7 linked regions of the Canis lupus familiaris genome follow. The protein of the gene in region 6 purifies or fractionates together with the protein of the main gene of each other region. This does not show direct contact. Links are inferred from orthologs where the notes say so. Each region holds a gene or a part of one and is shown on either strand. Other genes may lie near its edges. The genes, in order: REST, TRIB2, RIPK4, ZNF704, STK3, BTRC and TWIST1.

Region 1 (3,003 bases), on a different chromosome or scaffold from region 6:
TCATTTCAAGTCTAAGCATCCTACTTGTCCTAATAAAACAATGGATGTCTCAAAAGTGAAACTAAAGAAAACCAAAAAGCGAGAGGCTGACCTGCCTGATAACAATATTACCAATGAAAAAACAGAGACAGAACAGACAAAAGTAAAGGGGGATGTGGCTGGAAAGAAGAATGAGAGGTCTGTAAAAGTGGAGAAAAAAGATAATGTTTCAAAAGAGAAAAAGTCTTGTAGTAATGCTTCCACCCAAGTGACTACTAGAACTCGCAAATCAGCAATGGAAACTAAAGAAATGGATGTGCATACAGGAAATAATTCAGAAGCTACCGGTAAAACCAAGAAAAGCAAAAGGAGGATGGAAGCTGAAGCCCATTCCTTAAAAGACCCTGTAAATGATGAGGAACCTGTGACAAAAAAGAAAAAGAAGGCAGAAAGCAAATCCAAAAATAGTCAGGAAGTGCCAAAAGGTGATAGCAAAGTAGAGGAGAATAAAAAGCAAAATACCTGCGTGAAAAAAAGTACAAAGAAGAAAAGTCTGAAAAATAAGTCAAGTAAAAAAAGCAGCAAGCCTGCTCAGAAAGAGGTTGCTCAGAAGGAGCCTGCTCAGAAGGGGCTTGCTCTGATGGAGCCTTCTCCTCCCAAGGGGCCTGCTCAATTGGAGCCTTCTCCCAGGGGGCCTGCTCAGTTGGAGACTTCTCCTCCCAGGGGGCCTGCTCAGATGGAGCCGCCCCCGGCCCTAGAGTCTACTCAGATGGATGTTGGTCAAATGGAGCCGCCTCCCCCAGTGGAGTCTGCTCAGATAGGGTCTTCTCAGATGGAGCCACCTCCTCCCATGGGCCCTGTTCAGATGGAGGTTGTTCAGATGGAGCCTCCTCCCACAGAGCCTTCTCTTCACATGGAACCAAGTCCCAAAAAGTCTCCTCGAAAAGATAAAAAGGAAAAGTCCAACATACAGAGTGAAATGGCACGGAAGGAGCAAGTCCTTATTGAAGTGGGCTTAGTGCCTGTTAAAGATAGCCAGCTTCTAAAGGAAAGTGCAAGTGCACAGGATCACTTACCACCACCACCACCACCACCACCACTGCCGCCACCAAAGGAAAACTCAAAAGAAGAGGAGTCAAAAGACCAAAAATTATTCACTGAAAACGAAGGAAGTAAAGAAGCCCCTCTTCAAAAAGTAGAAGTAGAAGAGGCAGAGAAAGGTCTAGCTGGTCTTGCTGCTATTAAGGAATCTGCCAATATTTCATCCTCTGAACAAAACTTGACTATACCAGAGGGTGAAATTTTAGATGCTAAGTGTCAGGCTGACACTGTGCTTTGTGAAATGGAAATGGACACTGATGAGAACAAAACAGAGAATCCCCCTGGCAAAGGCCCAGCAGTTGAAGAACCTGTTTCACCAGTGCTGCATCCCCTACCAATAGAAAACCATGAAGCAGTGTCTAAAACTGCTGTGACATCACCTCCTGTCACCATGGCAGTAAATGAGTCTCAGGAAATGGATGAAGATGAAGGCATCCACAGTCATGATGGAAGTGATCTAAGTGACAACATGTCAGAGGGTAGTGATGACTCTGGATTGAATGGGGCCCGGCCAGTTCCACAAGAAACCAGCAGGAAAAATGCAAAGGAAGCCTTAGCAGTCAAAGTGGGAGAGGGAGATTTTGTTTGTATCTTCTGTGATCGCTCTTTTAGAAAGGAAAAAGATTACAGCAAGCACCTCAATCGTCATTTGGTTAACGTATACTTCCTTGAAAAAGCAGCTAAAGGGCAGGAGTAATTAATCTTAGGATAAGGCTTCAGTTCTTAGTTTATGCGATCTATTACATTTAATATTCATTTATAGCTGTAGACAACCTTTTGTTTTTTTAAATTGCTTTAATTAGTGTCCAATGTTGATTTTTAAGTGGCACTCTTTTCCTTAGGACTCTGTATATCTATTGATGGATAAATTTTAGCAAATCCAAGGAAGTTAGTGTACTAAACCAGCAGATACCTAAATCTGTTAGTTTATACATTTAATTGAAATGAGAAGGCCAAGGTGGTATTGTAGCATTCTGTTGCTTTGTCTGGCTGTAACTTGTCACTTTTCTTGCCATGTCTGTCTTCTTGTTTCGCTTTAGTTTTTTCTTAGTTCTTTGTTTAGTTCTATAAAAATTGGCATACTTAAATAGCAAATTACTTGAATTTGCCTGCTTTATATAAAGTTAGCACTTTAAAATTTTTTTAGAGATGAGAAGAGACATTTAAATTGAAGAAAAATTCTCCCAACAGTGGACATTGTATCAGTCCAGGTATTTACTTACTGAGTTTTGATCAATATTTCTTATTTGTGTATGTTAATCGTCATAAAAACAATGATTTTGGTGTGTTTTTTTTTTCTTTCAAGTTTTTTTTTTTTTTTTTTTTTTTTGGTGCTTTAATGGCTTAAGATGTTGCACATTGTTTTGTTTTTTTTTTAACCTATGCAGTTCAATTTTTTTCTAGAAATAGTATTCGTGTTGAACAGTAACACTTTATACATATATATGCATGTTTATTTTGTCCTCTTTCGAGGGATGCTTTTAGTCTTGTTTGCAAAAGGGCAGTTTTCTTTTTCCTTTGCTGCAATTGTCTTTTTTGCAGAATATTAGTGTGTGCAAATTTGTGAGCAAATGAAACATGCAGGTTCAATCCATTGATTTTGAATTTCACATCTTATATCTATGCCAGAATCTGTATTTCACATAAGTTATTTATTTTAAATGGATGTAGTGAATTCACAGCTCTCATTTTGACCTTTACAATAAACCACTAGACTCTATATTAGACAGATTTTTATCTCAGATACCAACCATGAGTAAAAATTTTTGGCTTGTTTTAGTAGAACTACTTCCTTAAATGTGCAGTGTTAAGTCATATCTTTGAGGAAAACCTTTCTGCATAGATGGTTGGTGTCCATATGGCTACTCAGCTGAATAAAGAACTGTAAGTGATATTTGGAAACTGCAAACCTGGAATTAGGAG
Region 2 (4,133 bases), on a different chromosome or scaffold from region 6:
AAAATAATAATAATAAAAGACGAAGAAGAAAAGCCATCAATTTCCTCCAAAACAAACCCCACCGGGCAATTTGGGTTTAGGGTCCGGGGGAGGCGGAGTGGTTGCAAATTGCTCCAAGGCAAGATCCAGTTATCCAGCGGGAAAGGAGCGCGCGGCAGGTTGGCCGGGGGCGCATCCCCTTCCAGCGCCCGCAGGACCCCCCCCCTCGCCCCTCTCCAGCTCGCCCTCCCCCCGGAAGCTCGTGCCGGGGGAACCGGAGACCATTGATCTACCCTCGTCCCTGCCTGCACTTCTCGCTTTATTCGGAGGACGGGCTGCAGCGCGAGCGAGGGAGCGAGCGAGCGGCGACAGCATGAGCCTGTGCTGACCTCCGCCCGGCGGGCCGACCCGGGCTTTGTCGCGGTCCCTGCGCGCGCCCCGCGCCCCGCGCCGCCACTCTCTGCCCCACAGCTTCTGCGACCTTTTGTTGGCAGCGCTGACCGCTCCAAGTTAAATGCTCCTTTGCCATTCTTTTTTTTTTTCTTTCTTTCTTTCTTTTCTTTCCTTTTTCTTTTTTTGTCTGTTTGTTTAAATTTTGGAGAGCTCTTGCGATCTTGGAAAAGCCTCACACGCCATCTACAGTTAAAACGTAGGTAGCTCCTCGCTCCGCCGGCCTCCCCCCTCCCTTCCACGCCCCCCACCCTTTCCACCAAAAAAAAAAAAAAAAAAAGGGGGGGGGGTTTGCAGCGCGGATTGTGTCTGCCGTGCAGCGCGAGCCGGTAGACCCGTGCTTATTTCCTTTTTTTTTTTTTTCTTTTTCCCTTTTTGTTTGGTTTCTAACGCGTCGAGACCCAGCGGCTGCCGTGCGCGCTCCTCCAAGATTGCACAAACTAGACAGCAGGGCTCCTCCGCCCCGTCCGCGCTTCGGAAGCCTGCGTGGGGATCGCCTCGGGAGACCTGGCGCTGCGGCTCCCCGCCGTAGCAATCGGGTGGCTCGTCTAGACCCACGTTGGAAGGAGACAGAGAGAAAGAAACTAAAAGTGCGGAGACTCTGCAAAATCGCCGGCTGCTTTGGGGTAACAAAAGGACTCGGAGTTGCTGCGGACTGAGCGCCCCCGGGAGCCGGGGCTCGGAGCCGACCAGGTGCCCGGCGGCGCCCATCTGGGGGCTTCTCCCTCTCTCTCCACGTAGCCCCCTTCCCGTCCCCTCCCCTCGCGAATCCTTTTAAAATCCGTGGCACGGAGGCGCCTGCAGCCGCGCTCGCCAGCGACTCATCATCTCTCCAGCGGGGGTGCTTTTTTTTTTTTTTTTTGTCTGTCTGTCTGTCTGTCTGCCGAGTGCGATCTCCACACTCATGAACATACACAGGTCTACCCCCATCACAATAGCAAGATATGGGAGATCGCGGAACAAAACCCAGGATTTCGAAGAGTTGTCGTCTATAAGGTCCGCCGAGCCCAGCCAGAGTTTCAGCCCGAACCTCGGCTCCCCGAGCCCGCCCGAGACTCCGAACTTGTCGCATTGCGTTTCTTGCATCGGGAAATACTTATTGTTGGAACCTCTGGAGGGAGACCACGTTTTTCGTGCCGTGCATCTGCACAGTGGGGAGGAGCTGGTGTGCAAGGTAAAGAGCCCGGGGTTTGCTGGTTTGGGTTTTTTTTGTTGTTTTTGTTTTTTGGGGGGTGCTTTTTTGTTTTGCTTATTGTCTTTTCAAAAGATTCCCCGGGCCCGTTTGGAGGGCGGGAGGTCGCCAAGCTCCGGAGCCCCCGGAGGAGGGAGGCGCGCGGGATAATTCTCCGTGGCCTCGTTAAAAAGGGGCTTTATTTATTTGTTCACGTTCGACTAGTTGCGAAGTTTTTAGAGCGTTGCAGACAATGGGGCGGGCCGCGGCGGGGGCGTCCCGGGGAGAGCCCCGGGGTCGCGGGCGCCGCGAACACGCGCGCTCCCCAAGGCCCGTGGGGCGCCCCTGCGCGGGGTCGGGGCCCGCGGCCGCCCCAGGGCTGTCTCCCCGACTGCCGCCCTCCCCCCCCTTCCCCTCCCGCCGTGGAGTAGGGAATCCCCCGCTCATTTTAGGGCACTGATGACCGGGTTCCTTTCGCAGCCATTGTTCTTAGAAGCGTGCAGGTGTTAAACCTTTGTTCCGAAGGTGCCCTTTAAAGGAGACACACAAAGGTGTCCCCTCTGGCTGAGCCAGGGGCCCAGCGCGCGGGGAAGGAGTTTACAAAGAGCTCCCTGCTGCCTGCAGCCTGGAGAGGAGGGCTGGGGGTTGAAATCAAAGCCGCAGGCGCACCTTTGGGTGTAGGAAATAGTGAGTCCTTGGCTCCTTCTCTGTGGTCTCCTTTCTGCTCATCCTCCGGACTTCCGTGCCTGAACACCCCCCCACCCCGACACCCCCCTCCGACACCCCCCCCCCACCAACACACCTTTGCCTGTAGGGTTTACAGGCCGGCTTCTGGAGCCCCTGGGATTCTCACTGCTAATACAGAGATGGGCACTTCAGTTTCCTTTTTGTCTTTGACCCCCAACAGTGACTGGGGTGTCTGTGTGTCTTTGTGTGCGCTCCAGAGGAGGGGATGAGAAGGGGAACAGTTGCAAAAAAAAAAAAAAAATAGAATAGAGCATACTGCTACCCCGGGCATTGGGACACAGATCAGGAATTCATTGTCACTTAATTTTATATTCGGTCACTCTTGGTTTTTCTTGGGAGGGGGGCGGCGGGTAAGGGGGTGGTGAGGAGTGAGGACCTCTGCTCTCTTTGAGATGGGCACTCTGCAGAGCTGTGCTACGAATAAAACATCGCGCTTCTCTACCATTAACCACAGATTGCCTTATTTCGTAGCGGACTGGAGCCTTTTCATTGTAAATATGGGTTTTGTGGAGGTCTTCAGTCAGTTTTGCAATTGCTCAGTTCAGATCTCAGGGGGAAAATCAGAGACTCTTTAAATAGAGCTCTCTGCTTCTAGGGAGCATTTGGTATTTTGCATCTCCTCCCAAGTTATTGAGACCCAGAGCAACTGTGCCCGGTTAACCAAAATTCAGTAGGCTATTCAGGGCTGGATTGAATTCTCAGAAGACCTGCAAGGTTGCACAATAGGGGAGTCATCCTTTGAAATGAATGAATTCCACAGAGCTGCCACTCTCCTGTGAAATATGCACAATCGCCCAGCAGTGAGAGTGTTCACTCCCTTTGCTCAACTTCGGTACAACATTTTAATATTTTTCAAAGGCTGGAGACGCTTGTAAGTAAAGGGACTCTGCCTTCAAAGTCTGCAGGAGCATCTTGCTGTTATTTCTTTGTTTAAAGGCAGAGGGGACTTGCCCCTGTTCTTTCTTTCTCCCTCCAGACTCCTCAAGACGTTATTTCCCTTTGGGCTGACCTTTCGGTGTCATTCATAGACTTGCTCTTTGGCTTGAAACTGTACTTAATCGGCTGGTTTAGTTCTTGCAAAGATTGAATCGGCCCCTCAGCAATTACTGTGTGGCTGCAAGTGGATTTAAGTGCAGTATCATTGTTCTGCTTGACACAGGTCATCCCTTTAATACACGGCAGCCCGGTTTCCTGCAAAGGCTGCAAGACTTTTTATGCAAGCAGAGTTGTATGTGTCCTAGGAAGCCCCAAGTGGTTTTTATAAGGCTGCTTCCACGAGCTACCCCCAGATACACGGTGTGAACTCAGTTTACCGCAGGGCACTGTGAAATCTGCACATTGAATCAAGTTCCGTTTCGTGTCTCAGAGTAAAGAGTTCATGTCTTCCAGCTCCTTGTTGACCCAAGGAAAAAGTCTTTGCAAGACCAGACCAAATGTAAAGATGCCATGACTAGAGAGGACTGCAGAGAGAATTCTACAGGACCCTCTTTGGGATCATTTGACCAAAATAATCAAGCCTGTTTATTGTCTCCCTGAGCCTACTTTAAGCTAGCCAAATGAAGGAAGGCAGCTTTAGGGGGTCTTTACCTTATCATTTTCATGGAAATGCTGGTAGCTACTGTGCAGATTGACATAATTACTATCTTGGAATAATGGGCACTTTTTTTTTTTTTTTTTTGCAAATGCTACTAATGATGGCCTGATCTCACTGCCTTATCTCAACTGTCACATTATATAAGTAAGGCTCCAAATTAAACATTTAAAAGAAGCTGGCAGCCAGGCTTAT
Region 3 (3,500 bases), on a different chromosome or scaffold from region 6:
CCGCTCCCCCAGAGGGTGAAAACCACGGCCCCCCCACCCACCCCGGCCCCGCGGAGCTGCCCTGACTTACGCGCTTCTCCTTTGCAGATGAGAAGAACATCCTGCACATCATGGTGAAGGTGGTGAAGGGCCACCGCCCGGAGCTGCCGCCCGTGTGCAGAGCCCGGCCGCGGGCCTGCGGGGCCCTCCTGCGCCTCATGCAGAGGTGCTGGCACGGAGATCCCCGGGAGCGGCCCACCTTCCAGGGTGAGTGCCCGGGGGACCTGCTGCTCGACTGTGCCGCTGGGGGCACGGGGGAGGCTTGATGAGCAGGACAGGAGGGGCAGCCGCCCAGATGGGGCAGGCGGTGCAGACACAGGTGCCCGTGGCCCTCCAGCGCCCGGGGCCGGGATGGGCGGCTGGCACTTGGGGGTCGGTGGCAGCGCCCGCCCAGCTCTAGTCCAGGGCCGCCTTGCTCCCCGGAGGAGCGCGTGCTGCAGTCCTGCAAGTTCAGGTATGCCGGTGCCTCGCTGGGGGTCTGAGGAGACCGCTCGCCCGAGGCTGTCTTTGCATCTCCCTTGGGGTCTTGTCCGCCTCGGATGGATGCATCCTCGGGGTAGGAAAGTGATTCTGATGAAATCAGAATTTGTCGTTATATTGAAGACACACGGAGGAGATGATAGGAGCCTCCCCTGCCCTGTGCCAGCCACCCGGGGCCGTCGTGGGCACGGGGCTCCCCCCGGGGAAGGCTTCTCTGGGAAACTGGAATGGTGTGGGCCCTGCCTGGCGTCTGCAAGACACTGCAAATGGTGGCTAACAGGACGCCCCAGAGTGGCCCACGTGGAGGCTACGGGGCATCCTCCGCAAGCGCCGCCGAGCCAGCAGCCTGGGAAGTTGGGTGCTGGCCAGTCCCCTGGGGTGCAGCCGCCCTGGCTGCTGCCTCTTCTGTCCCTGCCTGAGGTCTACACGTGTGAGGAGTGGGTGTGGAGGTCATCGTCCCAGTGACCTGCCCTGTTTTGTTTTCTCCCCGAAAGAAATTACCTGTGAAACCGAGGACCTGTGTGAGAAGCCCGACAGTGACGTGAAGGAGACGGCACAAGATCTGGACACGAAGCAGCCCCCTGAGCCCAAGAGCCCGGTAAGAGCGACCTTCCTGGAGGCCATTTTTTGGGGGGCCCTTCCCCTCCTGTAGACTGGCCTGCCAGCTTGGACCAGGCCCTGGGGTCACCCCCACATGGAGAGAGGCCTGTCCCAGGTCGGTTGGCCTTGTGTCCCAGAGCCAGCCACAGGGTCCTGTGCCCCAGAGCAGGAGGGCAGGTCAGTGGCCAGCTCTCGCAGTGCCAGGTGTCTATCCTGTCCAGCTGCATCCTGTCCCCACCTCCCATCTGTGGTTAGGAGTGGACAGCGTGGGCCCGCTGGCCGGATGCTCTGGGAGCTGGGGGGATGCAAGGCCCATGTGGGCTCTGCTGGTCCAGCTCTCTCTGCTCCCTTGACTCGGGAATCTGGCCGCTTGCTAACCGCTGCCCATAAATGATTTGTTCTGGGAGGGCCACATGGGTTATGTAAGGTGCAATAACTAACTCCAAAGGCTGGGGCTCACCAAGCCCGCGGGGTGACGGGGCTGTGGCAGACGTGCGAGGCGAAGCCCAGTGTGTTACCTGCTATCGGGCGGTTTAGCCCCGGCTGCCGGCCGCGTAAGGCTAGGAGATAAGTCATTGTTTAAGGCGTGCCCGCTGTCTGAACATAAAGGGGTGTGTGTGAGGCTGGGGGGCAAAGGTGCCCGGGGTGAGGAACCTGGTGAGGAAGAGCCAGGCACCCAGTGCACGGGTGTGACTCTGCACCGAGCCACCGAGTCAGAGCGGATCTGCAGTTCCCAAGGAGAAGGGAGGATGGGGGCACGTGGGCTTGGGTCGGGGAGAGTCGGAGGCCACCTGGGGCTTAATCATTCACCAGAAGTCTGCCTTCCTGGAGGCCCGTGAGGGAGGCCCTGGGAGAGGCCGCGTTGGCGCCCATTATATTGGAGTGCCCCTTTGTCGCTGTAGTTGGGCCGCCCCTCATGTGGCCCCCACACAGCCCCCCGGCCCGACTCGCATGGCTAGGAGGAGGGGGCACAGGTGGTTGGCAGGAGGGGGCCCAGCCCCAGTCCCAGTCGCATGTCCTTCCTTCGTTTCTTACCAACAGTGGCCTGCCAGGGTGGGCATGGCCCAGCACTCAGGCTTCACACCCTCCCGGCACCATCACATCCTGCCTGTTGTCTAGGTGATGCTGCTCGTGCCACTCTAGCAATGGGCCAGGGCAGCATGGTGCCAGGCTTCCCATGTTCATCCGGCCAGCATTGGCTCACATGGTTGGCGTTGGCTCATGATAGCCAACGTTGGCTCATGATGACCAGCGTTTGCTCATGATGGTCGGTGCTGGCTCACAATGGCCAGCATTGGCACACTATGGTCGGTGTTGGCTCACTATGGTCGGCGTTGGCTCACAATGGTTAGCGTTGGCTCACGATGGTCAGTGTTGGCTCACGATGGCCAGCATTGGCTTGTGATGGTCAGCGTTGGCTCATGATGGCGGCATTGGCTCACCATGGTCATCCTTGGCTCTCAATGGTCACCGTTGGCTCATGGTGGTCAGCGTTGGCTCGCAATGGCCAGTGTTGACTCGCGATGGTCAGCGTTGGCTCACGATGGCCAGTGTTGGCTTGTGATGCCCAGCGTTGGCTCACAATGGTCGGCATTGGCCCACGATGGTCAGCGTTGGCTCACGATGGTCTGCATTAGCTCATGATGCATCTGTGTCTCCCGGCTTTGGGCTGCCCTGGTGCTGTATCTGTGGCGTTGGACAGAGTGCCCCGTGTGGCTGTCCTGGCACCACACACCCTTTGCCCTCCGCCTGTACCCCCTGTGCCCTGGGTGGGTCTCATCTACCCCACTCTGCTCGGTTTGCAGAAGCCTGTGTGCACACCCCTCAAGCGAGCCTCCGCGCCGACCTTCGACAGTGACTACAGCCTCTCGGAGCTCCTGTCCCAGCTGGACTCGGGTACCTCTCAGACCCTGGACGGCCCGGAGGAGCTGAGCCGCAGCTGCTCAGAATCCAGGCTGCCGTCTGCCAGCAGCGGCAAAAGGCTCTCGGGGGTGTCCTCGGTCGACTCTGCCTTCTCCTCCAGGGGGTCGCTGTCTTTGTCCTTTGAGCGGGAGCCTTCGACGGGAGGTAAGCGAGGCCCCCAAACCCTGGGAAGTGAGGCCCTTAATCATGGGGCTGGGGGGCAGGCAGTGTGTGTAGGAGTCCATGTGTACCCGAAGGGACCGGGCACCCAGCTCCTGGCCCCAATTCTTCATTCCTGTATCGTGTACCCAATTGTTTTGGGGCGTCAGAGCATAGCTAGCTCACTGAGCGCAGGTCCGGAGAGGTGTACTCGCTGAGTGGCCGGCCAAGGGGCTCCGTGCGGTGTCACTTCAGAGTAAGGGGGCCGGGCCGGGCCACCTGGCTGTGCAGGAATAGTCCTACCTGTGCCAACCCTGGGT
Region 4 (3,500 bases), on a different chromosome or scaffold from region 6:
GGCTCAGCGGTTTAGCTCCGCCTTCAGTCCAGGACATGATCCTGGAGAACCGAGATCAAGTCTCACGTTGGGCTCCCGGCATGGAGCCTGCTTCTCTCTCTGCCTATGTCTCTCTCTCTCTCTCTCTCTCTCTCTCTCTCTCTGTGTGTGTGTGTGTGTGTGTGTGTGTGTGCTCTCATGAATAAATAAATAAAATATTTAAAAAAAGTTTAAAAATAAATAATGTAAAAATGTAAAGTATAAATAAATATATAAATTCATTATAATCTCTGCTTTGTTCATCATGCTATCAGGAGACCCTAGAAAAGTGCCTGGGTGTAATAGGCTCTCAGTAACTTATTGCTGAATAACTGATTGGTTAAATAAATTGTTTTAAGAGGTCAAGGAAGGCTTCCCTGCAAGTGGACAGTGGAGTTGAGTGTTGCAGGATAAGTCAGAGTTTGCCAGACAGACCAGACAGGGGAAAAGCATTCCAGACAGAGGGAAGAGAAAGTGCAAGATTTCGGGGCAAGAAGGCAGACTGGGTTCGTGTCATCATGTTTTGCTCTCTTTTGCCCCAGGCGTGTTGGGGATTCCGACTACAGTGATGGAGAAGAGGACTTTTACTACACTGAGATCAAGCTCAACACAGACTCAGTGGCAGATGGACTGAGCAGCCTGGCCCCGGTGTCACCTTCTCAGTCCCTGGCTTCACCTCCCACTTTCCCCATCCCAGATTCAAGCCGAACAGAAACTCCTTGTGCCAAAACTGAGACTAAATTGATGACACCCTTGAGCCGCTCAGCTCCCACCACCCTCTACCTCGTGCACACCGACCATGCTTACCAGGTGACTTGCAAAGGACCTTGGGGGTAACCACTCTGACCCCCCACCAAAAGCAATAGCATTCTGCTTTTGCACTGGAAAGGGTGCAAAAACAGCATCACACAAGTAGGCTAATAGCTGAGTTCTTTTTTTCTTTTTCTCCTTTTAAAGTTCAGACCTCACACAGATGGGGCTCTGGGGGTCCTTGGACTCCCCAATATTGACTAAAGATCCAACCCCTTAGAGGTTGTCATAGGACTCAAAATCCTTAATATTGTAAAGATCTCACAATTGTGCCTGGCCCACGATCTAAGTATCTGTTAAATAAAAAAATATAAGTGAAAAAGTGAGCACCGAAAGCTTTGGCACAATGACATAACCGCACTGTGTCCCAACTCTGGGACTTCATGCCCTGTCTTCTGAATTGGTAACTAACCCTCACAGATCAGAGCAGTGATGATCAGTGTTCCCCAAATAGCAGTGTCAACATCACCTAGGAACTTGTCAGAAATGTAAACTCTTGGGGCAGCCCCAGACCTTTTGGGCAGGAGGGAGGGCTGGGGGTCCAGCAGTCTGCATTGTGACAGACCCTCCAGGTGATCTGCTTCACTCTAAAGTCCCAAAAGACCTTACAGACAAATCCTGCAAATAGGACACAGCTAAAGCTCTTCTGTCCCCCCAGCATTTATTAACTCTTTTAAATGTTGATTTGTTTTAATGACATATCAAAACATTCAATTTTAAGAAAGCTTTTTTCCCCAGAATTCTCAACTACTCTGTACAACCTAAAAAGAAAAAAAAAAAAAAACTCCTGTCCATATTTGTAATTGTGTTCTCCCACCCTGGTTTTATAAACATTTTCCATATAACTGACTAGTTTTCAGTTAAATCGAAACACCAAGTTGTTTTAGTCATTCTCTTACCGTTAGCTCTCTCCTCTTTAATCTCTCCAGTTTTTCCACTATCATTAATAACTCTACTACGAACACCTCCATGCCAGTAGCTTTTGTTTTTTTCCCTTTGAATTCCCAGAAGAATAATTATTGAGTCACAGGATATAACATGAACAGCTTATGGCTCTTGCTATGTATTGCCAAAATATTTTCCAGTGGTGCCAGTTATAAAACCACTGTCACGAGCAACTACATCTATAATTAGAAAAACTAAACCTGTAGAAGTACCCAGCCACTGATTTAATAGGCTTACAGTCAAGAGCAATGGAATAGAGCTAATTATTAAATTAGTTGATGCAATAAATTTCATTCCTGACTCTTGTTATGTTGGTCAAAAAGAATACTTAATTTCTTTGTTTTTGTTTGTCAGTGTTGTATTCAGAACACTGGTTTGAAATCATGGGCCTGAACCAATTTCAACTATTTTGCTCATCTATATGAGAGTTGGAACATGCACGAGGTGATCTAAAAGGTCCTTCCCAAACCATGTATTCATAATATTGGGATTATTCTATTTATAGACATTATGAATGTTCAGCATCAAAAGTATTAAAAACACAAGCAAATGAAGAAAATTCATCCCTGAACCGCAACAACAAGAAAGCTCCTTGGTTAATATTTTTTGTATGTCCTTCAAGACTTTGTTCGATGTATATATAGTCATTTTTAAAAAAGTAATTTACCATAGTACTGTTTTTCTTGTGCTTTATTTTTGCCATTTAATATATCATGAACATTTTCCCATGCCAACAAGTATTCTTCAACAGCATCAGTCTGTGGGTATATCATGACTTACGTACCTACATCCCTATTATTGGACACTTGCATTTCCAGGGGTTTTTTTTACATAATACATAGTTCTGCAATGAACATCTTTATATCCATTTCGTTAGAATGAATTCTAAAAGTGGCATAGCTAATATACAAAATACTAAGAATTTTGATATATATTGCCAAATTACCCTCCCCAAATGTTGTACCAATTTACACACCCAGCATCCCTGTAAAGTTGTTTATTTCCCAATTTGATGGTGAGGCATAGTGTTTTACACACAAATAGGCCTATGTCCTAAAATAGGTACATGTACATATAATAAAATTTCTTTTCAGAAATCAGCAAAAAACCTGCTCTTATTCATTAGATTACTAAGATTTATAAAAAGCTTATTTCTAGCTATTCTCTTCAGCTATGTTTAATCTCCTGTTGGAGAATTAGTCTAAGTTATTAATACAGCTGAAACCATTTTGGGGCCCTACTTTGGCAATGATAGCTTAGGACTGTGAGGAGAAATGTTGTTTCATAACAATGTTCTCTGTTTTCTGTGGGACAGGCCACACCCCCCGTGACCATTCCAGGATCGGCCAAGTTCACCCCCAACGGCAGCAGCTTCAGCATTTCTTGGCAGTCTCCTCCAGTTACCTTCACAGGCATTCCAGTAAGTAGAAAAACAAAAAGCCAGAAATCTGGTCAAAGCCAAACATAAATTTAGAGAACAAATTATAAAAACATGCAAGAGAAAGGCAAAACTCAGAATACCAGAAGTACTATTCCTTAAGTGATACTTGTACACTCCCCAGCATGTATTTCATGGTCCAGCCCAGCCCAGCTTGTCTGTGGTAAAAGGTGTTACGACTGGCATTTTAGAAAACCAGGAGAGGTGCAGCTGCTGATAAACAACTTGTTAGAAATGTGTCAAGAGTGTTTGTGTCCGTGGTGTATCTGTATGCTTCCAAAAGGCTTTA
Region 5 (2,699 bases), on a different chromosome or scaffold from region 6:
CATCCTGCATATATATGAGGCTTCTTTCCTGCTGTTACACAGAAAACCAGTAAAGGATGTGCTGGTCTTGCCTCCAGAAGGCAGTATAATTTAACTAAATCATTATGGTCAAACTATACCATTTAGTCAAATCTTACCATTGTTGTCAAACTAGAATATACATAGTGAAAAATTGATAGGCACTATATCTTCAAATTAGCCAAGCTTATGTCAGAATTTACACATCTTTGTTTACATCAGGCTCAGGATTTTGATTCATAAATTAAAAACCTTATTATATCAAAATGTTTGGGACAAAAGTATTCTAGATAATTTAATTTTCTGATTAACCAGGTAGTTAAAATTTAAACACTTGGTGAAATGCAAGATAGAATGCTTAATTTAACCTGTATTCAATCTTGTCACATTCTTGGGTGATCTCTGCAAATACTCACAATTATGGCGGTGCTCCAGAGCTGGAAAGGATAGGAGAGATTGGAGTAGATATATTCGGAACATATCCTGAATGTCTGTGTGTTGGCACTGGTGGATTTGTCTTTCTGCCTTTTTTTTTTAAAAAAAACAAATACTTTTCATCAGCTTATTTTTCTCTCTGCTCTTTCCTAAAAGCAGAGTTTTTTATTGCTTTTGTTGCAAGATTACTTAAGGTTCTTACAAGGTGTGGTATCTTGGTTCTTCAGAGAAGGTATTCCCATTTTAATTGTTGAACTACATTTCAAAGATGATGTAAAGACTGCTGAAATATTCATGCTAAAGCCCATTAGATTTTATCCTATTGTAGATAATTTTGTGTTAATATCTTCTTTTTTTTTTTTTTTCTGTTTCTAGTTAAAAAATCTCAGTTTAGAAGAACTGCAGATGCGGTTAAAAGCGCTGGACCCCATGATGGAACGAGAAATAGAAGAGCTTCGTCAAAGATACACTGCAAAAAGACAACCCATTCTGGATGCGATGGATGCGAAGAAAAGAAGGCAGCAAAACTTTTGAGTCTCATTTTTTTTCTGTTTGTTTAACTATTCTGGAGACCAAGAAACCACTAAGAATTGAAGGAATATTCTTACTGTCTTTTTTCTAAATCCCTAAGATTTGTGCTCTACAACTAGGCAGCAGTCCAGAACCGTTGATGGTACATACCTAGTAAATTCCCAAAAGGCAGAAATTACAACTGTAGCCTCTAGGTTTTCATTCTTTAAATAGTGAAAACAACAGAAATGTCTTCCTCTCTAGATCTGTCAGGTGCTCATCAGCGCTAAAACTGTTCTACAACCAACACTGTGTTTAGAGACCTTGAAAATCTGAAGCTATTGTTTAATTGTACAGCACTGAAGAGCTTTGTGTTACAATCTTCTTTATTCTTATTTCTAGTAGCTTATTTATTGTATCCCCAGGTAAGCTTATTTATTTATGCTGTTTCACTTTGTTTTGTTTTTAAGGACAAGATTAGGATAGCTTTGGTGAAGGGAGGGACGTATTAATAGATGATAATATACAACCAAATTATACTTTCAGCAGGTAGTGATGGGATACATTCCTTGATTTCCAGGATAGTTTTCCAATAGAAGCAAAGCAATAATAGCAATAGTACCCAGATGGGCCCAGACACTTTTTTATACTGAAGCAATAATTCCATTTTTACCTTCTGAAATTTTGTTTAATGTTTTTATTCTCGATGTTTGGTACAAATAGAACTATATATATTTAGGACACACAGGGCTATAATGTTTAAAACCAAAGAAGTCAGTGGAACCCTTGCACAAAGAAGTATGGTAAATATTTTAGAAGAAATAAATCCTTAAGACAAATGTAATTTGTTAATATTGTTTCATGTTTCATTTATTGATCTGTTAGCTGAACTATCAAACTGTCATCAAATCTATTTCTGTAAAATTTGTGCTCAATCGTCACAGGACGTTTTTGTTGATTTCATTCATTTCCTGGGAATTGATAAACATCATGTGCCTGACAATAACAAAATAACAAAAACATTTGTACTGAACTGTGCAAGCCTTGGGGACTATAAAAAAAAAAAAATGTTAAAAAGAAACTCATTTTTAAGCTGAATGAACATTTGTATGATTGAACTGGGACCAGTCAGTTCCTAAGCTACATATGGCCATCTTGACAGTGTTTGTTCTTTTGTGTGTTTAATTACTATGTGTAAATCATAAAGAAAAATAAATTTTACTGTGCCACCCAGCACATATCATCTCTATGTCTTTTAAGAACTCACCACCTGGATTCTCTCTTTTCCTGGCACGGAAGGTCTGTTCGTGAGGACAGCCTGGCTGATGTAGCCATAACAACTGGGAGCCTCAGGGGCTCAGTGTGGATTCCTCACTGGTGCTCCATGCCCATCCCACATTGGCAAGACACCCTGCTTCTGTCACTCACCCCCAGGACCTCCACCATCTGCAACACTGGTGGTCACGACAGCAAGGGGAGGAGTGCTGACATTGTGACACATGTCAGGGTGGCCACAACCAGTATTCAGAACTAGTCACGTGGCCACTAACTCCCTAATTTCAAGGGAGTGAGGAAAGACAACCTCACCTGTGTGCCCGGAGGGGAGAGAAGGGAGATGCCAGTGGGTTCGTTAATGACTGCCACAGGGGGTAGAGCATCTCTGGAAGCTTTAGTTCTATCTTAAAATGGCAGTTGCACCCCAGGCCATGCCTTGGAGTAATATATATCCCTGCCCT
Region 6 (3,500 bases):
AACCATCTAAGAGTCTGATCTCATTTTTTTTACCCCAATGTATTTTTCATGCCTTGCTAAAGCATCTGAATTTTTTCTTAAGTTTCTGAATTTCTTTCAAATTAAATGTGCTACAAAAAAGGGGTGGCTAGGTGTTGAAAACCAGTTTTTCAGTCTAGATCTGTGTTGTAGGTCAAAACCTTTTTTGGATGGAAGCTCCTTCACAACATGGACCACTTCTATGCAAAATGCCTAATACCTTTGAGAATGTGAGTACCTGATAAGTGCTCAATATTAAATTCAGAATGTTATCATAAAACGTGATCTGCTGATTAAGAAAATGGAATTCCCCAAGTGATCTTTTATTATACTTTTAAGAGTTACCATTACTGAGCAGAGAGAGCACATTCAATATTATTGAAAATCAAAAACGACAGAGTTCTTGTCATGAACTGTCAAATTCATCTAGATACAAAATACAACAGTGGAATAGAAGTTAAACCCAAAGCTTCATTAGAGAATTATATTTATTTATTTACTTTTGGTTGGAGGAAACTTTCAAAGCCAGCATTTGGGGAAAGGTAGGACAGATTTTATTGACACAGTAGGCTTAGTAAAGCAATCTGAAAGAAGATGAGAAAGTGATCATACATTAAAAAATTTTTTAAGGGGGAGGACACTAACACAAGAAGAAAGGCAAGATTTAAAAATAGAAGCAGCCAGAGAAAGTCAAGGGGATATTAAAGGAGGTCTTCATGGGGTGGACACTTGTAATTTCACAGGACTCTATTAAGCTAAGATGGCAAATGTAGCTTAAGACAGGAATATGGTCTAAACTTCGAAGGATACTCAAAAGAACAGGAATGGGTTCCTGTGGTTGAATAGATAGAGGAAAGAGTGATAATTACTATGGGATTCTAGGTTATTTCTCAGCCATTCCTTTATATACTCCTCTTAAAAGGCCAAAAGGCCATCTTTTCAATGATCTAGTTTGTTTTCTTTCTTTCTAACTAATATAACAGATCTTGCTTCTTACTGCCACCCCCAACTAAAACTGTGGAGCCTACTCTTATCTTTGGCATTTTCACATGCATCTGTCCAAATCTGCCACCTATTCCTTGTTCTTCTTGCCTTCAAATAAAGAACCTGGAACTCCCAATGTCTGATAAAGGTTTATTGTTATTCACAGTCCAAATGGGAGCAAAGTATATTTTATCACTATGGGAGTGAATCTCTGTAATAGAGATTTCAGGCCAGATGTTCCAATTTGGAAGCAAGGGTTTTTCCCTTTCCTTTTTTTTCCCCCATGAGGGATAGTGGAATATTCCTAGCTACCCTAAAATTCTCCCATGTATGTCAGCAACTGCTCTCTATCTAAGGCTGGTCCTGACACACTTAGCAAAATGATGAACTCTGAATCCTATACAACTATATACTTTTTTGCTTTCTTTATATTATAAGGAATTTATTTCCAAAGTATAAGGTAAGTTATGAAAGGTTTTGATTTTTCTATATAGTGAAATAAGTGAGAATAAGAAAAACATATTTGGGAAGAATAACACTGTGCTTTCATTTATTCATTTTTATACAGCCAAAGAATTGCCTGACATTTGCTTCATTTAACTGAATTTGAGAGAAATTTTTAAGTCTTCCTAATAGCCAGAATGACAGAAATTTCTTGAAGCATTTGGTATAATATTTAGGTAATTATGTTTATTATATATTAATGAATTTCAAAGATGCAAAAAAAAAAAAAGAAGCCAACTATATTTTAATGAAAATTGCTAAGAAAAGCTAATCCTTTTTTCTTAACTGTTTTGTATCTCTTTATGGTCCAAGATAAATAATTGATAAAATTAATTGCTTAGGATATCCCTGAGCACACATATGGCTGCTGGTGCATATCTATCAGCTAAAATACTTAATATGTCACCTTTATTTTACTTATGAAATATTCACACCTGACTTTCTTATAGTGACATTCTAGTAACATCCTCTAAGAGCAAAGTACATATAGAAGGTATCTTCCAGAAGTTTGAATGAAATGGTACCTTTATGTTAAAAGAACAACAGCAAAATTGGTGAAATCTCTTAGGTTGCTAACTATATAATGCCTTAAGGAATTTAGGATTAAGCAGTAAAATCTTGAGAAAATATGGGTGGGCCTTATGAAGAAATGGTGGCTAGAGTTCTTTCTCTAGTTGAGTATAAAAGTAATTTTGATTACAAAGGTGAGAAACCACCTTAGACATGAATTAAAGATAAGAAATTTTCTGAATGAGAAAATACTTATTTGTATTTGTCCGGAACTGTTTCAGGTATCTGATGGCTTCTGTGTGATTTAAAGTCATCTGTCTTACAAACTGCCAACAGCCCTTTGTCAGGACACTAGTTTCTGCTCAGAAAACAAAATGCTCTCAACAGAAGTCAGTTTTTACAAAGTAGTATTAACATATTATTATGTCACTTATGAGTGGTCAGAAGAAAAACTGCTAAGTACCTGTACAACTATTTTATTTTACATTTTGTGCTATAAACCAGGTAAACATCATATTAAATGATAAGCAGTCTCACTGGTTCCCAGTGTTATTCCAATGATTCTGAATGGGCAGGTCCTGAAGATGATCTGTAATAGTAAGAAAGTTAAAAGGCTCACCACCCTCTTCGTTCTGCCAGGCCTCTCCACAGAGAATCTGTCCTGACCATTCTCTCGATGAGCTTCTTCCATAACATGCCATCAGAGGTCACTCGGTACCATTCCTTACATACAAGTTCAGCAGCACATAGCGATTTGGCATCCAGGTATGACAGAATGTTCTCAGCAATGTGATCCAAACCCCGGGCTGTTGGTAGGGGGTGGAGGCAAAGAAGAATATAGGTGGTGAATGATTTTTTACAAAAAGTCCTTGAAAACAGAATAGCATTTATTCTGCTCTGAAGGCACATCACTGTCCCTAGTGTGGTCCAGTTTCTTTTTCAAACAGAAACTTGGGTAAAATGAGTGTCAATAATTTTTCCATAAGGTTACAGAAATGAACAGTATTTTCCATCTTCCTTTAGATAAGGAAGTTAAAGCTAACAACCAGCAAACCCCCCAAGACATTAAAAATAAAAAGGATTCCAGAAAACAATTCACATCTATCTATATGGATTTCAGCACTAGGGGATGTTCTATGGATGGCATCTCAAAGTCTGTGATTCAGACCCCCCCAAATCTCTATATTAGGTCCATTTCTCATTCTGTTTCTATTACTGCTGCAGTTCCAAAGCTGTTCAGTAAAAGAAATATCCTTTAAACGTACTAGGGGAGAGGCACTAAGTCAGAATGTGCTGGGTTATAGAATTTTGGGCATGCAGAAGGAGAGAAGAAGGAAATACAGATTGGTAAAGGAACATCCCAAGAGGAAAGACAGAGAGGTATGTTTAAGTTCGAGTTTAATTTCAGATGCTTAAAAAAAGTATGTTTGAGAGTAGTTGCTGTTATAAAACCTAAATGACAATTAACCAAAAAATGAAAAAGC
Region 7 (3,943 bases), on a different chromosome or scaffold from region 6:
TGGACCGCGCTTGGGTCACCCGAAGCATAACTGCCCACTCCAGCTCCTAGGATTGAAGGGCGGAGAAGGTGCCTCGCACAACGGGCAGCTGCGCGGGTTCGGGGTGGAGGGTGGGGGGTGGGCTTGAACCCCACCTCGCTCTCTTACGAGCCTCCCTTTAGGGGTCACGATGTGGGGCTTTATGTGGGGGTACGGTAGGGATGACACGGCCGCGGGGTCCTCCACCTTGGGCCGGCAGCTCAGGCGACGCGGGCCGCAGCGAAGACCCTGCGCTGTCCCTCTCCGGCCCGCTGCTTTCTCCGAGGACAGGGCTGACTTCCGAGAAAAGAACGAACTTCCTCTTTTTAGCCCCGTCGGAGGTGAAGTCTTTGGGGTGGCAAGCGGCTTTAGGCTTGGGTCGCTGTGGCGGGATAAAGGAAGGCCCAGATGCTTCTGAGGGAGGGGTGAGAGCAGGCCGGGGCACCGAGCCGCAGTCCCCGCAGTCGCGGCCACGTCTTCAAAAACCGCCCACGACCTCAGGGCCAGCCGCGGTGGTTTGGGCTTTGCAACTCGGGGTGTGGGGGTGGGGAGGTGGGGAGGTGGGGAGCCCCTCCGTCCACCTGGCTATAGGGAGGAGAGCTCCGCGGCTGCCAGTTTTCTTGCCCCTGCCCCCGCCCCGGCCATCCCAAAGCGGCCCCCGCGGACCTAGAGGGTACAGGGGCGAGATGAAGCATCACCCACTGCGTAGAAGCTGTAGCCGGAGCTGCCGCTGCTGTCACATCCACTCCGGGAGGGACTGACACCGCGGCCGAAAGGTCCCCTCCGGCCGCCTTCCGGGGCTGCGCTCGGGTGCGGGGGCGCGGCCCGCGCGCGCTCGGGCGCGGAAGGAAATCGCCCCGCGCCGGCCCGCGGAGGGCGGCGGGGCGGGAAGGGGGAGGGCGGCGGGGCGGGGAGGGGAGGCGGGGAGGCGGGGAGGCGGGCAGAGGGCCGGCCGCCGCAGCCAGGTCGCCTTTGAATGGTTTGGGAGAACGAATTGTTAGACCCCGCGGAAAGGGGGGTGGGGGTGGGGACGAGGAAGGGGGTGGGAGGGCAGGGGGGCCTGGAAAGCGGAAACTTTCCTATAAAACTTGGAAAAGTCCCTCCTCCCCACGTCAGGCCAATGACACCGCTGCCCCCAAGCTTTCCGCCCGCGCGGAGGTATAAGAGCCTCCGAGGCTGCAGCTCTCGTCCAACTCCCAGACACCTCGCGGGCGCGCCGGCACCGGCGGCGGTTCCGAGGGCAGGGCCGGGCCGGGCCGGGCGTGCGTGCGGCCGCTGGGCGCTTCTTTTTGGACCTCGGGGCCATCCACACCGTCCCCTCCCCCTCCCGCCTCCCTCCCCGCCTCCCCCGCGCGCCCTCCCCGCCCCGCCGAGAGCCTCCCGGGCCTCCTCCCGCCCCTTCCTCGGCGGCCGCACCGCCCGGGCCGGCGCCGCGCGCGGGGGAAGCTGGCGGGCTGAGGCTCCCCGCCGTCCTCCCTTTCCCGGGCCTGCGAGGCCGCGCGCTGCCACCTGAGAGATGATGCAGGACGTGTCCAGCTCGCCAGTCTCGCCGGCCGACGACAGCCTGAGCAACAGCGAGGAGGAGCCGGACCGGCAGCAGCCGCCGAGCGGCAAGCGCGGGGGGCGCAAGCGGCGCAGCAGCCGGCGCAGCGCGGGCGGCGGCGCGGGGCCCGGCGGGGCCGCGGGCGGGGGCGTCGGAGGCGGCGACGAGCCGGGCAGCCCGGCCCAGGGCAAGCGCGGCAAGAAATCTGCGGGCGGCGGCGGCGGCGGCGGCGGGGCGGGCGGCGGCGGCGGCGGCGGCGGCGGCGGCAGCAGCAGCGGCGGCGGGAGCCCGCAGTCGTACGAGGAGCTGCAGACGCAGCGGGTCATGGCCAACGTGCGGGAGCGCCAGCGCACGCAGTCGCTCAACGAGGCGTTCGCCGCGCTGCGGAAGATCATCCCCACGCTGCCCTCGGATAAGCTGAGCAAGATCCAGACGCTCAAGTTGGCGGCCAGGTACATCGACTTCCTCTACCAGGTCCTCCAGAGCGACGAGCTGGACTCCAAGATGGCAAGCTGCAGCTATGTGGCCCACGAGCGGCTCAGCTACGCCTTCTCGGTCTGGAGGATGGAGGGGGCCTGGTCCATGTCCGCGTCCCACTAGCAGGCGGAGCTCCCCACCCCCTCGGCAGGGCCGGAGACCTAGGTAAGGACCGGCGCCTCCGCGGGTCAGGTGGCGGGCGGTCAGACGGACGGCCGGGCCGCGGCTCCCGGCCCACCTGGCCTTCCTCCGCGCCCCCCCCCCCCCGCCCAGGTCGTCCCCCGCCCCCCCCCCATCAGCCTTCCCACCCAGCCTGGCACCGCCACCTCTTCCCCCGAGCGTCCCTGAAAGGCAGGTCGGTCCCCGCTAGGGTGAGGGGGACGCGCCCCGTGCCGGGTGTGCTGCGTGTGCGTGAGTGTGCGTGTCGGACAGGAGGGAGGACTTGAGAGACACTCGAGGGTCGTGGGGAAGGGCAAGTCTGGTTGCCAGCGCCTCCCTTTCTTCTGGCTCTAAGTTTTCGTTCTCCTTAAAACAAATGCTTCCAAATTCCACCTCCTCCTTCTTTCCGGCCACCCACTTCCTCTTGCCCTTGGGCTGAAATCCTTCCAGGTTGTTCAGCGTAATTTCTCAGTAGTGGTGATAAGAACAGTGCTCGCTAGTCTTAGAAAACAGCCACGAAGACCTAAACAATAACCAACTTTCCAACCCCCCCCCCCCTTCTGGGTTTTTGCAGATGTCATTGTTTCCAGAGAAGGAGAAAATGGACAGTCTAGAGACTCTGGAGCTGGATAACTAAAAATAAATATATATGCCAAAGATTTTCTTGGAAATTAGAAGAGCAGAACCCAAATTCAAAGAAACAGGGCGTGGGGCGCACTTTTAAAAGAGAAAGCGAGACAGGCCCGTGGACAGTGATTCCCAGACGGGCAGCGGCACCATCCTCACACCTCTACATTCTGATAGAAGTCTGAACAGTTGTTTGTGTTCCTTTTTTTTTTTTTTTTTTTTGACGAAGAATGTTTTTATTTTTATTTTTTCATGCATGCATTCTCAAGAGGTCGTGCCAATCAGCCACTGAAAGGAAAGGCATCATTATGGACTTTCTCCATTTTAAAATGGTACCAACCAGAGGAATTTTAAGAACGTCTTTAGAAATAAAAATACGGGGATCTAACTGACTTGCAAAATCACAGTCAGTTAAACCCTCTTTACAGTCTTCCTCTGAGAGAGAAAAAAAAAAAACTTAAAATACAAAAAACAACATTCTATTTATTTATTGATGACCCATGGTAAAATGCAAATAGATCCGGTGTCTAAATGCATTCATATTTTTATGATTGTTTTGTAAATATCTTTGTATATTATTTTTCTGCAATAAATAAATATGATTGAAAATTTTAAGAACCTCAGAGTTTGGTCTATATTTTTAAAGCTCAGGATTAAGTTGGAGGTAAATACCTGCTTGTTTAACTCTGGAGGCACCCAGGAGGGAGGGGGCACTAATATAAACAAAGCAGTGAAAAACGCAAATAAACTAGCTACTGACAGGCACAGGCGTGTTATTTAGAAAGACAGCTTTATTATTATTATTCCAGTTTGGTGTTCAGTGGACTTTGTAGCATCTCTCCTTCATCTCTTATCAGGCCCCCCAAACAAGCAAAAACTTAGGAAATTTGTTACTCACTTCTCTTGCTTATATTTTGAGGAGGCAGCTGTAAAACAGTTAAATGCAAATAAGCAATATGAAGCCAGGACTATTTTTCTCTCGTTACTGTATTTTTTTGTTCTACCCTCCACTGTTTGTCAGGACTTTTAAGTAATAGCGTTCATTGCACTGAAAGGATGCCCAAAGTGTTACTAAAATGATCTGTATCTGTACACTTACAAATCAGTAGGAATGCGTAG

The links.
Region 1: the proteins of BTRC (region 6) and REST purify together in Homo sapiens (affinity purification with western blotting; 8 studies listed by BioGRID and IntAct, with this or other methods). This does not show direct contact. The link is inferred for Canis lupus familiaris from reciprocal best matches to the Homo sapiens genes BTRC and REST.
Region 2: the proteins of BTRC (region 6) and TRIB2 purify together in Homo sapiens (affinity purification with western blotting; 3 studies listed by BioGRID and IntAct, with this or other methods). This does not show direct contact. The link is inferred for Canis lupus familiaris from reciprocal best matches to the Homo sapiens genes BTRC and TRIB2.
Region 3: the proteins of BTRC (region 6) and RIPK4 purify together in Homo sapiens (affinity purification with mass spectrometry; 4 studies listed by BioGRID, with this or other methods). This does not show direct contact. The link is inferred for Canis lupus familiaris from reciprocal best matches to the Homo sapiens genes BTRC and RIPK4.
Region 4: the proteins of BTRC (region 6) and ZNF704 purify together in Homo sapiens (affinity purification with mass spectrometry; 3 studies listed by BioGRID and IntAct, counting the BioPlex papers as one, with this or other methods). This does not show direct contact. The link is inferred for Canis lupus familiaris from reciprocal best matches to the Homo sapiens genes BTRC and ZNF704.
Region 5: the proteins of BTRC (region 6) and STK3 purify together in Homo sapiens (affinity purification with mass spectrometry; 3 studies listed by BioGRID and IntAct, counting the BioPlex papers as one, with this or other methods). This does not show direct contact. The link is inferred for Canis lupus familiaris from reciprocal best matches to the Homo sapiens genes BTRC and STK3.
Region 7: the proteins of BTRC (region 6) and TWIST1 purify together in Homo sapiens (affinity purification with western blotting; 4 studies listed by BioGRID). This does not show direct contact. The link is inferred for Canis lupus familiaris from reciprocal best matches to the Homo sapiens genes BTRC and TWIST1.

The regions. Positions count from the first base shown.
Region 1 is NC_049234.1:49,818,275-49,821,277, forward strand, and holds part of REST (RE1-silencing transcription factor), read left to right. Parts: coding exon 1-1,777; 3' UTR 1,778-3,003. UniProt on the Homo sapiens protein: Transcriptional repressor which binds neuron-restrictive silencer element (NRSE) and represses neuronal gene transcription in non-neuronal cells.
Region 2 is NC_049238.1:9,238,836-9,242,968, forward strand, and holds the start of TRIB2 (tribbles homolog 2), read left to right. Parts: upstream 1-1,333; coding exon 1,334-1,603; intron 1,604-4,133.
Region 3 is NC_049252.1:36,057,316-36,060,815, reverse strand, and holds part of RIPK4 (receptor-interacting serine/threonine-protein kinase 4), read left to right. Parts: intron 1-87; coding exon 88-246; intron 247-1,013; coding exon 1,014-1,117; intron 1,118-2,924; coding exon 2,925-3,186; intron 3,187-3,500.
Region 4 is NC_049250.1:28,472,544-28,476,043, reverse strand, and holds part of ZNF704 (zinc finger protein 704), read left to right. Parts: intron 1-560; coding exon 561-828; intron 829-3,088; coding exon 3,089-3,193; intron 3,194-3,500.
Region 5 is NC_049234.1:753,447-756,145, reverse strand, and holds the end of STK3 (serine/threonine-protein kinase 3), read left to right. Parts: intron 1-828; coding exon 829-987; 3' UTR 988-2,199; downstream 2,200-2,699. UniProt on the Homo sapiens protein: Stress-activated, pro-apoptotic kinase which, following caspase-cleavage, enters the nucleus and induces chromatin condensation followed by internucleosomal DNA fragmentation.
Region 6 is NC_049249.1:14,332,408-14,335,907, reverse strand, and holds part of BTRC (F-box/WD repeat-containing protein 1A), read right to left. Parts: intron 2,823-3,500; coding exon 2,636-2,822; intron 1-2,635. UniProt on the Homo sapiens protein: Substrate recognition component of a SCF (SKP1-CUL1-F-box protein) E3 ubiquitin-protein ligase complex which mediates the ubiquitination and subsequent proteasomal degradation of target proteins. Recognizes and binds to phosphorylated target proteins.
Region 7 is NC_049235.1:33,429,393-33,433,335, reverse strand, and holds TWIST1 (twist-related protein 1), read left to right. Parts: upstream 1-1,421; 5' UTR 1,422-1,534; coding exon 1,535-2,161; 3' UTR 2,162-2,203; intron 2,204-2,771; 3' UTR 2,772-3,443; downstream 3,444-3,943. UniProt on the Homo sapiens protein: Acts as a transcriptional regulator. Inhibits myogenesis by sequestrating E proteins, inhibiting trans-activation by MEF2, and inhibiting DNA-binding by MYOD1 through physical interaction. This interaction probably involves the basic domains of both proteins.